3 linked regions of the Callithrix jacchus genome follow. The protein of the gene in region 3 interacts with the protein of the main gene of each other region in a pairwise test. Links are inferred from orthologs where the notes say so. Each region holds a gene or a part of one and is shown on either strand. Other genes may lie near its edges.

Evidence for each region. The genes of interacting proteins can lie anywhere in the genome.
Region 1: the proteins of BFSP2 (region 3) and SYCE1 interact in binary tests that used the Homo sapiens proteins (3 or more experiments, as listed by UniProt). The two-hybrid records come from large-scale screens. The link is inferred for Callithrix jacchus from reciprocal best matches to the Homo sapiens genes BFSP2 and SYCE1.
Region 2: the proteins of BFSP2 (region 3) and USHBP1 interact in binary tests that used the Homo sapiens proteins (3 or more experiments, as listed by UniProt). The two-hybrid records come from large-scale screens. The link is inferred for Callithrix jacchus from reciprocal best matches to the Homo sapiens genes BFSP2 and USHBP1.

The regions. Positions count from the first base shown.
Region 1 is NC_133513.1:126,881,137-126,885,791, reverse strand, and holds part of SYCE1 (synaptonemal complex central element protein 1), read left to right. Parts: intron 1-486; coding exon 487-546; intron 547-912; coding exon 913-987; intron 988-1,646; coding exon 1,647-1,694; intron 1,695-1,932; coding exon 1,933-1,987; intron 1,988-2,688; coding exon 2,689-2,778; intron 2,779-3,023; coding exon 3,024-3,087; intron 3,088-3,813; coding exon 3,814-3,880; intron 3,881-3,955; coding exon 3,956-4,079; intron 4,080-4,149; coding exon 4,150-4,260; intron 4,261-4,410; coding exon 4,411-4,515; intron 4,516-4,569; coding exon 4,570-4,574; intron 4,575-4,655. UniProt on the Homo sapiens protein: Major component of the transverse central element of synaptonemal complexes (SCS), formed between homologous chromosomes during meiotic prophase. Requires SYCP1 in order to be incorporated into the central element.
Region 2 is NC_133523.1:15,853,850-15,858,477, forward strand, and holds part of USHBP1 (harmonin-binding protein USHBP1), read right to left. Parts: intron 3,662-4,628; coding exon 3,415-3,661; intron 2,554-3,414; coding exon 2,332-2,553; intron 1-2,331.
Region 3 is NC_133518.1:50,728,366-50,733,805, forward strand, and holds the start of BFSP2 (phakinin), read right to left. Parts: upstream 3,312-5,440; 5' UTR 3,302-3,311; coding exon 2,813-3,301; intron 1-2,812.

The sequences.
Region 1 (4,655 bases), on a different chromosome or scaffold from region 3:
AAAACTAAAGAAGGAAAGGGGTATAGAAGGCAAAATATTTTCCAAAAACCTTGTCCCAAACTTCTTGCTACTCCCTTTTTGTTCACTAGGCTCCTGCCAGCCATGTTCCCACCTCAGGGTGGGTCTTTGCACTGACTGCCTCCCACCCCCACCCAAAGAGCTTCAGGGCCTGCCCCCTGATACTTGATCTGGGGCTGTCATGACACCTTCTCATATATGAGGAGCACTTCCCACCTCTTTGCTCGTTAACCCCCCTTGCCCTACTTTTTTTCTCTTAAACAGAGTTACCACAGCCCCACTCGGTATCTCATTGTGTCTATTCCCAGTCTCACCCACCCACAACATGAGCCCTGTGAGGGCCCCACACAGCACCTGCTTGCAGTAGGTACTCAGTAGATCTGTGTTGCATGAAAGCAGCAGAGACACAAGGCTGGCAGCCACCCACCTCTGCCTGCTCTGTCAACTAAACCCCCTTTCTCCCTGCAGTGGGAAGCCTAGAGCCCCAAGTTGAGGTCCTGATTAACCGGATTAATGAGATCCAGCAAGGTGAGTTCAGGGGCCTTGGCTGCCAGCTAGGACCAGCTACATGGTTTGTGGGGCTCAGTGCCAAATGAGGAGTGCAGGGTCCCTTGTCCAAAGTTACTGGCTGTTCACAACAGCAACAGCAGAGCCTTAAATTAAGTACAGGACATTTCTGCATGCAGCTGCCATAGTCATATGCCCATGATCCTGGCCCTGCTATCAGCAGAGCCTGGCAAGAAAAGCCTGCACTCTGGAAGCCTCGTTTCCTACTCTATAAAATCTAGGCGACTGTAGGGTTACCTGAAGGCAAATGAGAAATGTCACTGTTGGCAAGAGAATTGTGCAGCTGGAGGCTGCACTCATTCAATGTCTTTCCGATCTTTGATGAAGCAAAAAAGAAGGTCAATGAAGACGTAGGAGAGGCCCGGACCATCTCTGAAGCCCTGCAGAAGGAACTGGACTCGCGTAAGGGAGTCGGGTCACCCAGAGGTCCCCACAGTGTCTGAAGCCTCCCCTAACCCTGTATTCCAGATGATCAGCATCCTTGCTGTGGCCAAGGGTCCTGTGCCCTCTCCTGCCTCATGTCCTGCCAATCTCCCCCTCTCCTCTGCTTGTGATAGTGTTCAGGAAGCACCCTCCAACCTTACTCCCACCTCAGGGCTTTTGCCAGGTGCTGCCTGTACTTCCATGGATAATACAGGTTCCTCTTTCCTCATGTCATCAGCTCTGAGTTAGAATGTCCCCAGAGAAGATGACTGGCATTCCCCAGACATCCCATCTAGAGATGGCGCCCTGCCTCCATCTGGTCATGTGCCCCTCCCTATTCGATGTGTTTCTTCATAGCCCTTAATCTCACTTCATGGGTGTTTGTATTTTTTCTCCTCCCCACGTAAAAGCATGGGCATCCTGCAGGGCCCTCACAGCAACCCTCTGTAAATGTGAAGGCCCTTTGGTACTTACAGGGAATGTGGGCACCAGAGGATAGGGAGGGGCTCACCTTGAGGGGTTCACATTTGGGTTGGGGGCAAGGCTGTGCCCAACTTCCCATGTGACTGTGAGCAAGCTCCATCCCTGAGGATACAGTGCATAGTCCCTGATGCCCAAAATACATCACTGTTTTCCAGTGCATGGAGAGAAAGTACGCCTGAAGGAGATCTTGAGCAAAAAGCAAGGTATCTGCAGCTCCCCTCTCTCCAGGCTTATGCCTTTGCCACCCCACAGAAGCCCACTCTCCCTATGGCAGCTGAAGCCTTTTAAAGCTTGCCTCTCTCCTGTAGCTTCCACCAGACTTGCAGTAAATTTTAAAGCTCAATCAGGTGTCCATAGACCTGATGTGATCTGGCCCCATTCCCCCTACCACAACCCAGTACCCTGACAGCTTCTCATAGGGCCCTGTTGCTCTCCCTGTAGAGACCCTGAGGAACCTCCGGCTGTACTGCCAGGAGAAGGAAAGTGAGGCACAGAGGTAAGAGCTTCCAGCTGAGCCTAACTCTGCCCCACCTCTTTATTCTGGTAGAGCAGAAAGAGGCAGGAAGATGAGTGTAAGGCCCACAGCTCTCATTCTGTCCCTCTAAACAATGGAGTGTCCAAAAAGTCTTTCCCCCTCGGCTCCAACAGCAGGCAGTGGTGTTAAGGGTAACTCTCTCAATGGTATAGACACTCAATTGCCAAATTATTAATTAAATTTCTTCAGCTGGTTTTTGTTCTTTTCCTTTTACTCTTTGTCATACTCCTTGGCTGTCTATTCACTCATCTGTTCATTTAGGCATTGAACCAACCACTTGTCCATTGTCTCTCCATCCATTATCTTTTTATCCACCCAATTATTTGTCCATCCATTTCTCCACTTCCTGAATGCTTATTTAGCTTATTTTCTTACCAGAGGCCCCAGGCCCTGGCACACTGAGTTTTCAGCTCTTTGGGGAAACCAGATGATATGTGTGTGCATTTGCTCACTTGACCATGTCTGCACTGATCTCTCTTAACCTGACAACAGTACTTACAGGGGGCAAATGCTCACATTACTCCCTACCCATCACATGTTACAGAGAAGGACCTTAATGTAGGAGGGAAAAAATAGCCTCAATAGAGGGAGGCAGAAGCCCCAGCCAAGAACCCTCCTGGGGCTTAAGAGAACATGGCTGAGGACTGCCTTGCCTCTCCCAGGAAGCATACCATGTTGCAGGAGTGCAAAGAGAGAATTTCTGCTCTGAATGTACAGATCGAAGAAGAGAAGAAAAAACAGAGACAGCTGAGGTAAACCTTAGCACCTGAGGCAGGGGATTTGGATGCCTGGTAGTCAGGGTATAATATAAAAGATGGGGGTTAGAAGAGCTGGCTACACTGAGCCTTGGAGGGTTAGGATGGTGAAGATGCTCCCAGTGGAGCAAGGCCATGGGCAAAGCACCCCAAGGTCTGTGCCAGAAGACCCACAGACGTGGACAGGCTGCAAAGGTGATGATCTCAGCCCATATCCCTTCATGCCTGTGGTTGGCCCCCAGGTTGGCTTTCGAGGAACAGCTGGAAGATCTGATGGGCCAACACAAGGACCTCTGGGACTTCCACGTGAGTCCCTCAAAGCCACTTCTCCCACTTCCACATCTTCCCTAGCAGTACCAGGCCCAAAGGGTCACTGCTTCCTCTCACCTGCCACATCCAGTCCCTGAACAAGCCCTGGTGGTGCTAAGACCAACATTGCCCGGATCCAGTCCCTTGTCACCACCCTCATGGCCCTGCTACCCTCCAGGGTCCACTCAGTGGTCAGGGGGATCTCTGATCAAACTAAGGTCAAGTCTTCCATCAATGTCCATGGATATGTCTGGGACCATCACGGTCACAAGGGAGACAGTGAGGATAAGCAGCCAGTGTTTGCCCCCCAGGAGGATCCCAGGCACTGAACAAGAAAATAGACAGTGAGTGTTAGAAGGGAAGGGCTCAGTGACGAGGCCCCAGCAGGATGGAGGGGCGTGGGGAGGAGCTGCAGAGCCGAACTGGTACCTGATCCTACAGAAAACAGCAAAGACTCATAGTGTTTGCAGGTTTATCTGTTGTAAATAACAATCCATGAGCCTCCCCACTGCAGCTCTCCAGGGATGTAGGATGACAGAGTGCACAGGGAGGGAATGACCAGTGCCATGGGCCTGAGGTTTTCTGTGGCTAGTATGCACAGAGAGGCAGAGTTGTTGGAAGTGAGGCATGGTGAGCAAGTACAAAACAAGATCCAGAAAGCCTTCTTCGAGGCATGGGAGAAAGCCAAGAGGTGTGGACAGACCTCTTTTCTGCCCGCCCCAGAAGCCGGAGCAGCTAGCAAGAGAGATCTGCACCCTGGACAGCAGCAAGGAGCAGCTGCTCAAGGAAGGTGAGGCCAGGGAAGGTGGATGGCCCTTCTGACCTCACATACCCTCATGTGCTCACCTGTCCCTTTGTGCTGCAGAGAAGCTGGTCGAGGCAAAGCTGGAAGATGTGAAGCAACAGCTGTGCTCCCTGTGTGGTGCTGAGGGCGCCTCCACCCTTGATGAGGGGCTCTTTCTCCGTAGCCAGGAGGCAGCAGCCACAGTGTAAGATGTGGAGGTGAAGGGGGGGAGGAGGGAGTGGCCAGTGCTAACCACCCCCTCCTTGGCACCCCAGGCAGCTGTTTCAGGAAGAGCACATGAAGGCTGAGGAGCTCCTAGCAGCTGCAGCCCAGCACCACCAGCAGCTGCAGCAAAAGTGCCAGCAACTGCAGCAGAAGCGGCAGAGGTGTGTGTGGAGGCCCTGTCCCCTCAACCCCCACCAGGAAAGTGACCAATGTCGTTTCTCCTCCCTCAACCTTCTATTTCTCTGACTCTTGAAAATCTCTTGTCCCCCTTTCCTTTTCTTCCTTCCCCCATCCTACCTCTTCCTGTCCAGGCTGAAGGAGGAGCTAGAAAAGCATGGAACACAGGTCCCTGCCCAAGCCCAGAGCACACAAGAGGAAGAGGCTGGCCCAGGAGATGTGGTAAGCCCCAGACCTGGGTGGCAGGGAACAGAGACAGCTACTGAAGGGATGGGGAAGGGCAGGAGGACAAGGAAGGGTGTCATGGGACTCCTCAGAGGATGGTCTGTGGGGAGAGGCTTTCCCATAGGCTGTCCACCCAAGGTGGTGATGGGGTAGG
Region 2 (4,628 bases), on a different chromosome or scaffold from region 3:
GTGGCTCATGCCTGTAATCCCAGCACTTTGGGAGGCTAGGGTAGGATGATCACTTGAGGTTGGGAGTTTGAGACCAGCCTGGCCAACATGGTGAAACCCTGTCTCCACTAAAAATACAAAAATTAGCCAGACATGGTGGCTGGTGCCTGTAGTCCCAACTACTTGGGCAGCTGAGAGGCAAGAGAATCACTTGAACCTGGGGGGTGGAGGTTGCAGTGAGCTGGTATCACACCACTGCACTCCAGCCTAGGTGACAAGAGCAAAACTCCATCTCAAAAAAAAAAAAGAGATGATCTTGCTCTGTGGTCCAGGCTGGAGTTAAATGACATAATTGTGGCTCACTGAAGCCTCCAACTCCCAAGTGATCCTCCCACCTCAGCCTCCCAAAGTGCTGGGATTATAGTCGTGAGCCACCGCGCCCAGCCCTGATAAAGGAGATAAATTAACAGGGGACTTGGATGAGGCTGATGTCCAGGAGGACTTCCTCGAGGAGTTGATGTCTAAGCTGAGATCTACAGGAGGTCAAGGACTTTATGACACAAAGAGGGAAGTGACTGATGTTCCTGGCAGGGGCACGGAATGTACAAAGGCTTGGGGGTGGGAGAGATGATTTCAAGAGCTGCATTAAGGCCAGGCACACTGACTCATGCCTGTAATCCCAGCACTTTGGGAGGCCGAGGCAGGCAGAACATGTGAGACCAGGAGCTCGAGACCAGCCTGGCCAACATGGTGAAACCCCATCTCTACAAAGAATACAAAAATTAGCTAGATGTGGTGGTGCATGCCTGTAATCCCAGCTACTCAGGAGGCTGAGGCAGGAGGATTGCTTGAACCCAGGAGGCAGAGGTTGCAGTGAGCCAAGATCGCACCATTGCACTCCAGCCTGGGCAACAGAGCAAGACTCCATCTCAGGGAAAAAAAAAAAAAAAAGCGTGGACTCTGAGGATTCTTGAAGCCACTCTTTAAGCAGAGAACAAACATGTTCAGAAGTGGAAAAAAGAAAGGCTTCAGGGAAGAGGCTGGTACCAAAATCTAGGAGGTGAGGTACAGACTGGGGCAATTGCCAGGGGGAGAGGACGGACTAGGGACAGACCTTCGGTGGGAAGGAGGAGACGCACTTGTGAGTGGAAGATGCTGTACCCTTTCGGGCTTATTGGGCTCATACTCTCACAGAAAGAAACCCTTTGGCTGGACATGATGGTTCATGTCTGTAATCCCAGCATTTTGGGAGGATCACTTGAGACCCAGTATTCGAGGCTGTGGTGAGTTATAATCACACCACTGCACTCCAGCTTGGTGACAGAGCAAGACCCTAACTCGAAAGACAGAGAGAGAGAGAGAGAGAGAGAGAGAGAAAGGAAAGAAGGAAAGAAAGAAAAAGAAGGAAGGAAGGAAAGAAAGAGAAAGAAAGAAAAGAGAGAGAGAGAGAGAGAGAAAAATGGGCATGTGGCTCACGCCTGTAATCCCAGCACTTTGGGAGGCCAAGGTGGGCGGATCATCTGAGGTCAGGAGTTTGAGATCAGCCTCACCAACATGGAGAAAACCATCTTTACTAAAAATACAAAATTAGCTGGGTGTGGTGGTGCACGCCTGTAATCCCAGCTACTCGGGAGGCTGAGGCAGGAGAATCACTTGAACCTGGGAGGCGGAGGTTGCAGTGAGCTGAGATCGTGCCATTGCACTTATTTCAGCCTGGGCAACAGAGCGAAACTCCGTTTCAAAAAAAAGGAAAGAGGCTGGGTGTGGTGGCTTATCCCTGCAATCTGGGTGCTTAGAGAGGCAGAGGTGGGAGGATCACTTGGGCCCAGGAGTTTGAGATCTGCCTGGGTGACACAGAGAGACTCAGAAGGAAGGAAGGCAGGGAGGGAGGAAAACCTCATAGCACAGGTGTGAGTTTGACATAAAGCTTAATCATGCGACTTGCTTCTTGGTGCAGAAGTGGAAACTGAGGCTCAGAAAGGGCTGTGATAAGGCCAGGTGTAGTGGCTCACGTCTATAATGCCAGCACTTTGGGAGGCCAAGGCAGTCAAGAGTTTGGGACCAGCCTGATCAACATGGCGAAACCCCATCTCTACTAAAAACACAAAAATTAGCTGGACGTCGTGGCGTGTGCCTGTAGTCCCAGCTACTTAGGAGGTTGAGGCAGAAGAATCACTTGAACTGGGGAGGCAGAGGTTGCAGTGAGCCAAGACCATGCCACTGTACTCCAGCCTGGGCGACAGAGCAAGACTCTGCCTCAAAAAAAAAAACAAAAAAAAAAACCACAACTGCAATTGACCAGGGCTATGTTCCTGTTAGCAGCTACTGCCGGGTTCAGGCAGGGCAGCTCACCTGGTACCACCCCTCCTCGCCCCCGCTGCTGTCACCTCCACTGCTGTCTCCACCACTGCTGTTTGCCCCACCAGCCCGGAGCTCTGCCCATTCCCAGCGCAGCTGCTCCAGCAGAAGCGCGTGAGCTGGGCCCAGGGCTCGGAGGGCGGCCTCTCGAAGCTCTAGGCCCCGCTTCTCACGTCGCACCAGCTGCAGCCGAAGCATCAGGTCCGCCAGGGTCTCCTGCGGGACCAAGGGGAGGACAGAGAATTTATGCTTCTGGGGTCAACTGCAAGGAAACTGAGGCCCCAAGAGGCACCCACTGAGGACTAATCAGGCAAAAACTGTAGCCTTTGGCCAGGTGCGGTGGCTCACACCTGTAATCCCAGCACTTTGGGAGGGCGAGGTGGGTGGATCACCTGAGGTCAGGAGTTCGAGACCAGCCTGGCCAACATGGTGAAACCCCATCTCTACTGAATATACAAAAATTAGCCAGGTGTGGTGGTGCGAGCCTGTAATCCCAGCTACCCAGGAGGCTGAGGCAGGAGAATCACTTGAACTCGGTGGGGTGGGGGGATGTCGGAGGCTGCAGTGAGCCGAGATAGCACCATTGCACTCCAGCCAGGGCGAGAGCAAGACTCTGTCTCAAAAAAGAACAAACAAAAAACTGGGACCTTTCGCATGTTCTTGTGAGGTAGAAATATATTCCTCCTATAAAAGCTACAGCTGGAGAAATGGCATTTTCTAGAGGTGAGTAGCTTATATAGGTCAAATAGCAATTATGTCAAAGTTTCTAGGTCTCTCCAACTCCAGAACCTCCAGTTTTCATGCCAAGCTCCAAACCCAAGATTGTGTTCTTTGCTCCCATCTCTTTCCATAGGAAGGCCATTTTGGAGAAGCAGATTTGCAGTCTAATGAGAAACTGAACCCCAGAAGACAAACTCCTATTCATCCTTCAAAACCCCACCTCCAATTCTCCCTCACAATGCCTGCACCCAGTCCAGCAGAATTTTCCTTTGCTCCTTGGCCCCCCAACCACAGGACCTCAGTAAAGGATTTTGTCCCACCAGGAGAGACTGACACAGTGGCCACAGCCCTTTGTACCCTTGTGGCCAACAGATCCTGTTGAATTTGTGTCTTCTCCAGCCGGGGCAGAGCTGGGCCAGGCTGGGTCCCCAGAATGGCCTGCACCATGACTTCTGCACGGGGCAGAGTGGGGATGGGTGCCAAGGTGGGGCCAGGCTCTGAGAGAATCTTCACTTGAGCACAACGCTCCTGGAGACGCTGGACATAGCTTCGGAGCTGGAAAGCCACTTCCTCTGTGGGCTTATCCACACTGCTGCCCTCAGGGCTACAGAAAACAGAAGAGGTGCCTGTGTCAACACTGGCAATTGTAAGTGGGCTAATGTCATGCCAACCCTGGTAGGGTCCATCATCTTCCACCTCACTGGCCACAATGGAGCCTCCATCATCTGTGGTGGCCCCTGTCACACTGACATGGTGGGCACCATAATATGAACCCCACTCGGCACCGCCTTCCATCAGGGTCACATGTGGTCAGGTGCAGTGACGCAGGCGTGTAACCCCAGCACTTTGGGAGGCTGAGGCGGGAGGACTGCTTGAAGCCAGAAGTTTGAGACCAGCCTACGCAACAGAGTGAGAATCCATCTTGATAAAAAATTAGCTGGTCTTCAGTGAGGATGTGTGTTAATAAAAATAAAAAAATAGCTGGACATGGTGTTACATACCTGCAGTCTCAGCTACTTGAGGGGCGGAAAGCAGGAGACTGAATGAGACCAGGAGTTTGAGGCTGCAGTGAGCTATGATGGCACCACTGTATTGCAGCCTGGGTGACAGAGCAAGACCCTGTCTCCAACAAAATGTTAAAAAGAAACAAGCAGGCCGGGCGCGGCGGCTCATGCCTATAAGCACTTTGGGAGGCCGAGGCAGGTGGATCACAAGGTTAAGAGATCGAGACCATTCTGGCCAACAAGGTGAAACCCCGTCTCTATTAAAAATACAAAAATTAGCTGGGCATGGTGGCACGTGCCTGTAATCCCAGCTACTCAGGAGGCTGAGGCAGGAGAATTGCCTGAACCCAGGAGGCGGAGGTTGCGGTGAGCCGAGACCGCACCATTGCACTCCAGCCTGGGTAACAAGAGCGAAACTCCGTCTCAAAAAAGAAACAAGCAAACAAAAAAGAACGTGGTGAGCCGGGCACGGTGGCTCACGCCTGTAATCTCAGCGCTTTGGGAGGCCGAGGCGGGTGGATCACCTGAGGTCAGGAGTTCGAGACCAGCCTGGACAACATGGCGAAA
Region 3 (5,440 bases):
GAACTGGGCTCGCAGGACGAGGAGGAGTTCTGCGAGGTGGACAATGTAGGGAAAGAGGTGGCTGTAGGTGGAGAAATGGGAGGGTAAGGAGTAGCTGTGAGGAGCACGGAACACTGGAGCCCTGAGTCTGGAAAGCTGGGCTTGAAGCCCCAAGCAGAGGGGCCAAAGTGAGGGCAGAGGGAGGGACCACTGGATTTCTGGAGCCCAGGACCACAGAGTGGCTGCCTCTGACCCCCAAGAGAGGTGAAGGCAGTACTTTGTGAAAGGCCTGGGCTGGAAGGTGGCCTTTAGGAAAAAAAAAGGAGGTGGGGGCCCGGGTGGGGGCCTCCTGCAGCTCCGCGAGGACAGATTGATGGAAAAAATCATGAGTATTTCTCAATTACGAAGGGTTTTTTTGTTCTTCTTGATGGAATAGAGCTTAATATGGCTGAAAGCCTGGGCTGTGCAATATAGAAATAGTAACTCCGGCCATGCGCGGTGGCTCACACCTGTAATCCCAGCACCTTGGAAGGCAGAGGGGGCAGATCACCTGAGGTCAGGAGTTTGAGACCAGCCTGGCCAACACGGTGAAACCCCGTCTCCATTAAAAATACAAAAATATTAGCCAGGCATGGTGGCAGGCCCCTGTAATCCCAGCTACTTGGGGCTGAGGCAGCAGAATTGCTTGAACCCAAGAGGCAGAGGTTGCAGTGAGCCAAGATCATGCCATTGCACTCCAGCCTGGGTGACAGAAGGAGACTCCATCTCAAAAAAAAAAAAAGAAATAATAACTCCATTTTATTGATTGTTCTGACTCTATCTTCAAGTCCATGTTTTTTTAAAAAAAGAAGAAAAAAGAGACCATTTCTCATACCCAAGATCTCGTTTATAGTCACTTAAGAGGAAAGGGAGCCATGTGGGAGCCTGATCCTCAGTGACAGAGGGTGCGTGTCTTGGCGCATGGCTGTGCTGCTCTCACAGGATTTTAGAGCTTCCTAGTCTGTACTCTGCTTGTAGGCAGGAGCCAGGCATCTTATTTATCTATGGATTTGCTAGAATATCCAAGCATGATTACACCCATTTGTAGATAATGAAACTGAGGCCCAGAGAAGTCAGTAAGTTGCAACAGCCCTTGTAGCTCTCTGGAGCCAGAGCAAGTCAGTATCTATAGAGTATAAACTAAGTTTTTGTGGCCCTACTTTTTGACCTAGAAATCGGGACACCTGGTTTCTCCTGACAAGTCTGTCTGGCACCTGAGTGCAAGCGATTGTCCAGCAGATGCTGACATAGTAGAGTATCCAGGGATGTTCTGGTGGTTGTTAGGGCACAATGTTTGGAAACAGGACAGTTGTGAAGAATCCTGGAGGAATGGCTGCCTCTTTGATTTGACAGGCGTTCAGGGCCTGGACTGTTCAAAGATGGAGCAGCCCAGATGGAGGCAAGCGGAACAGCAGCACCGGGGGAGAGCCTGAGAGGACAGTGCTGTTTATCATGTGCTCTGTGCTGTCAGTGAGCACTGACAGCATTGCAGGAGAAGCATCCTGGGATGAAGCAGGAGGCAGGAGGGGCAAATGGGGAGTCCCTGTGTGCACCTGCTCAGCATCCCCCCAGCTACACACAAATAACATTTTGTGACCTCCTCTTGGGAGGCTGCATGCTGGACTCTAGGGGCCAAGGGTCTGAGTTGGTAGTCCCTGGTGGGTTAGAGACTGATTTTGCTCAGAGGGATCCCAAGGCCAGCATCTGGAGAGAAAGGGGAGGAGAGAAGCCAGCCATCCACAGAGAGACCAGCTGAGAAGTATAATGCTGGCTGGAGTCCCAGCATTAGAACCACAGGCTGCAGGCCAGACATGATGGATGAGCTCCAGGCTCTGCAGAAATCACCCTGGAGAGTGGGAAAAGCAGGGCTGACCAAGCAGGGGAGAAAGATTAAACCTGGGCATCCTTCCCTGTCCAGTAAGATAGCCATTAGCTACCTGTGGCTATTTACATTTAAATTAATGAAAATTAGATAAAATAAAAATACAATTCCTCAGTCTCAGCCACATTTCAAGTGCTTGATAGCCATATATGGCTAGTGGCTGCCAGATTGGACAGTGCAGATATAAGATATTAATATTTCCATCATGCAGAAAGTTCTACTTGAATGTAAATTATTTCATTAATATATTTTGTATTGATTACATGTTGAAATAACATTCTGGACATATGGAGTTAAATAGGCTATAATATTAACTTCACCTGTTTCTTTTTACTTGTTTTACCGTGGGCAATAGAAGCTTGTCAATTACCGATGTACCGATTTCTATTGAACAGCGTGGTTGCAGGTGGATACAGGAACACGCCTCCATTTATTCATTGTTTTTAATACCATGTCCATCTGATGGTATTTGATTGGATAATGGCTGTAAAAATCCTTTCTCAACAGTAAAGGTCGCTGAGGCAGCCCAGGGTAATTGGGCAAATGTGACTTTGGAGACACAAAAATTCAGGTTCACATCTCATCTCCATCCCTCCTCTAGCTTTGAAGTCTTGGGCAAATTACATGCCTCAGTTTCTCATCTCAAAAATGTAATCAATGAATGATCCACTGCATATCATTTATTTGAAGGGTACAGAAGATAGTGAATAGTACACGTACGGGGCTAGCATGGGCTCCTAGTAAACCTCGGTAAAAAGTGGCATTGTTGTTATGATTAGCATTTTAAGTGTGAAAGTGTAGGGGTTATGGTCAGTTTTTCTGGCCTGAGAAAGACCAGAAAAACCCTACCCCCTGCCTTCAGCAGCCCCTCCCAGCCTTCTGCAAAGCCCTTGGCACAGCCTGGACACTTACCTGCTGGCAGCTGCTGGCCCAGGAGGCCCGAAGGGCACCCCAGTTTCCCGAGCGCGTGGCCTTGCTCTCCAGGTGCATCCGAAGTTGTGTTTCCAGTTCCTGACTGACTTGCTCAAGGGCATGCACTTTGGCCATATATTCCACCAGGCAGCCCCCTAGGTCCTCAACAGCACCATGGTCCCGCTCCAAACCTGGAGCCGGCATTGTGGCCAGGCCTGAGCTCCGCAGGCCCTGAAGGAAGACACTGCTGATGCCGAGGGCCCGGCGGGTCACACGGGCACCCAGGCCACCTATGCACCCACTGGGTGCTGTTCCTACATAGACCCCAGGTACTCGGATAAGGCCACTCATGGCATTGGTCCTGGAGGCTGGGGGGCTATCCAGGGAGGATGATGACCGCGGCCCCCTGAAGGATGCCCTGTGCCTCTGCAGGGGCATGCTGGAGCTGGCACTGGTGGGCAAGTCCACTACTACTTGCCTCTCACTCATCACCCCTTCTGCCTCTGTGGTGCCCAAGTGGGTTTACAGAGTCCAGTGGCTGTTGGTTTACAGCCCCAGCATCCCTGTGGCCTGGTCACGGGCCTCTCTGGAATCTCCCCTATCCCCGGGGCTGCTTTGTCTGCTGTCTTCCATGAGTTTCCATCATTCACTGAGCTGAAAGAGAAATGGGCACTGGCCAGGGCTGCGTGCAGAGAGGCACTCATGCATTCTTTGATGTAGGGTCATGTGCCCAACCTCCCAGATTTTTCTGCTGGTGGTGGGGGAGGCTGGATCAGTGCAGGCTGTGGGGATAGATCATCTGGGTTCGTGCACTTTATTACCTAAGAGTGGGCAAGGCAGGCATCAAGCAACCCCATTCTACAGACGAATAAACTGAGGCTCAATGACCTCAGATCACAAGTGATCACTTGTCCCAGAGCTCACATTACAAGCTAGGACTCAATCCAGCTATTTCAGGGCTAATTTCAGTGGTTTCTACATCCCTATGTGTGCTGGCACATGTGAATGTGAACACATGTCCACACAAGAAGTAGAGGACGAAAAACGGCAGGACGCAGCCCCAGGGACCCAAGAGAAAAGCCCCTGCTTGTGGTTTCCTTCCCCCTCTCTCAGTCCTGGCAGCAGCTTCAGGTCCTTCCCTTGCCTCTCTCCTTCCTTCGTCATCTCTGTCCTCAGATTCTCTGTTCATCAGCTGCTTGTTGTTGGCCAGGATACTTCCTCCCTCTGGACCTCACTTTCTGAACATCAGCCTGAGCCTCTAACTCTCTGATGTGCCAGATAAGGACCTTGGGCAAATTCAGGCCCCACACATTATGTTCTGGCCATTCTCTCCACCTCTGCTTCTCTATCTGTTGGAAAACTGATACATAAAAACGACAAAGAGAGCATTTTCTGGCAAGCTCTCCAAGGGTGCTTCAAGTTAGGTATGAGGACACCCCTGGGTTTTAACTTTTGATCTTGGCATCCACTAAGCCATCAAGGGTCACACCTCAATCAGTTCTCTAGGATCAGAAAGGTTCCTCAAGTTCCAGGATGACAACACGGGCCTAAAAATCTCTGTATTTAAGTTTTAGCCTGGAGAAATCAGGTCACCAAACCCCAGAGCTGGATATTTTTCGAGATGCTGTAATGTAGGAACGTACCTCAGGTGAGAGAAGGAGAAGGGAGCCAACCTCTAGTGAGTGCCAAATCCAGCCTGCTGTGTGCATGAATCCTGTAGTTTACTTCATGGAATTCTCAACCCAGCCTTAGAAGGAAGGAGGTCCAGGGTTGACAAGTGCTGCCTACGGGCTGTGCACCTCACAGCTCCAAAGTACCATATCACGTGTCCTACGGTTGGCCACTATTTTCTTACGTGAGGAGGACCCTGAGAGCTGCAATGACTGGTCCAAGGTCCCAGGTCCAGAAGGTAGAGCTGGGGGGAGACAGCCTCTTCCAACCTCTGGGCCAGTGACTTACTTAGGAGCCTCCATGGTGCCCACCACCCAGAGAGCACAAAGTCACACAGGTAAAGTTAAAAACCTGGTCTACTACTAGAAGATCTGTGTGTACTTGCTTCCTGCTGACCAGGATGCTCCAACCCTTCCTTTCTTTATTGTCTTTCACTTTGTCCATTTGACATGGCCTAGGCGGTATTTTATAAATATCGATGTTGGCTATTTGATGAACAGATGAAAGAACCAATTGGATTAAGTAAAAGCCAGTAGTGTCCTTGTTTATTCAGATATAGCATTAATGCTGTGAACACCAGCCCTGAGACACCCAGAAGGGGCATGAGAGGCTGTGTTAAAGTAACAGCCTCCTGTGCAGGTGACGCTGACTTGGTTCTGAGGATCTGCGTTATTGTGAATTCCAAGATGTATTGTCCAAGGCTGAATGAGAGGTTCAAGCTACTGATTTAAGTTATGCACAAATATGTCATGTTTAGGCATTGTTATTCTCCACAGAACGATAACACTCAATGGCCAGGTTAACTTCAGACATCTCTGGGCCAAAGATATTTACTATATAAATCCACTCAGCCCTGGAGATGGGGAGAATGGTGGGGGGATGTACTTTAATTGACACTGCTGTCTCCAAAGACCTGATGAAAGATGACTCTCGTTTGGAGAAATTGCAAACATGTTC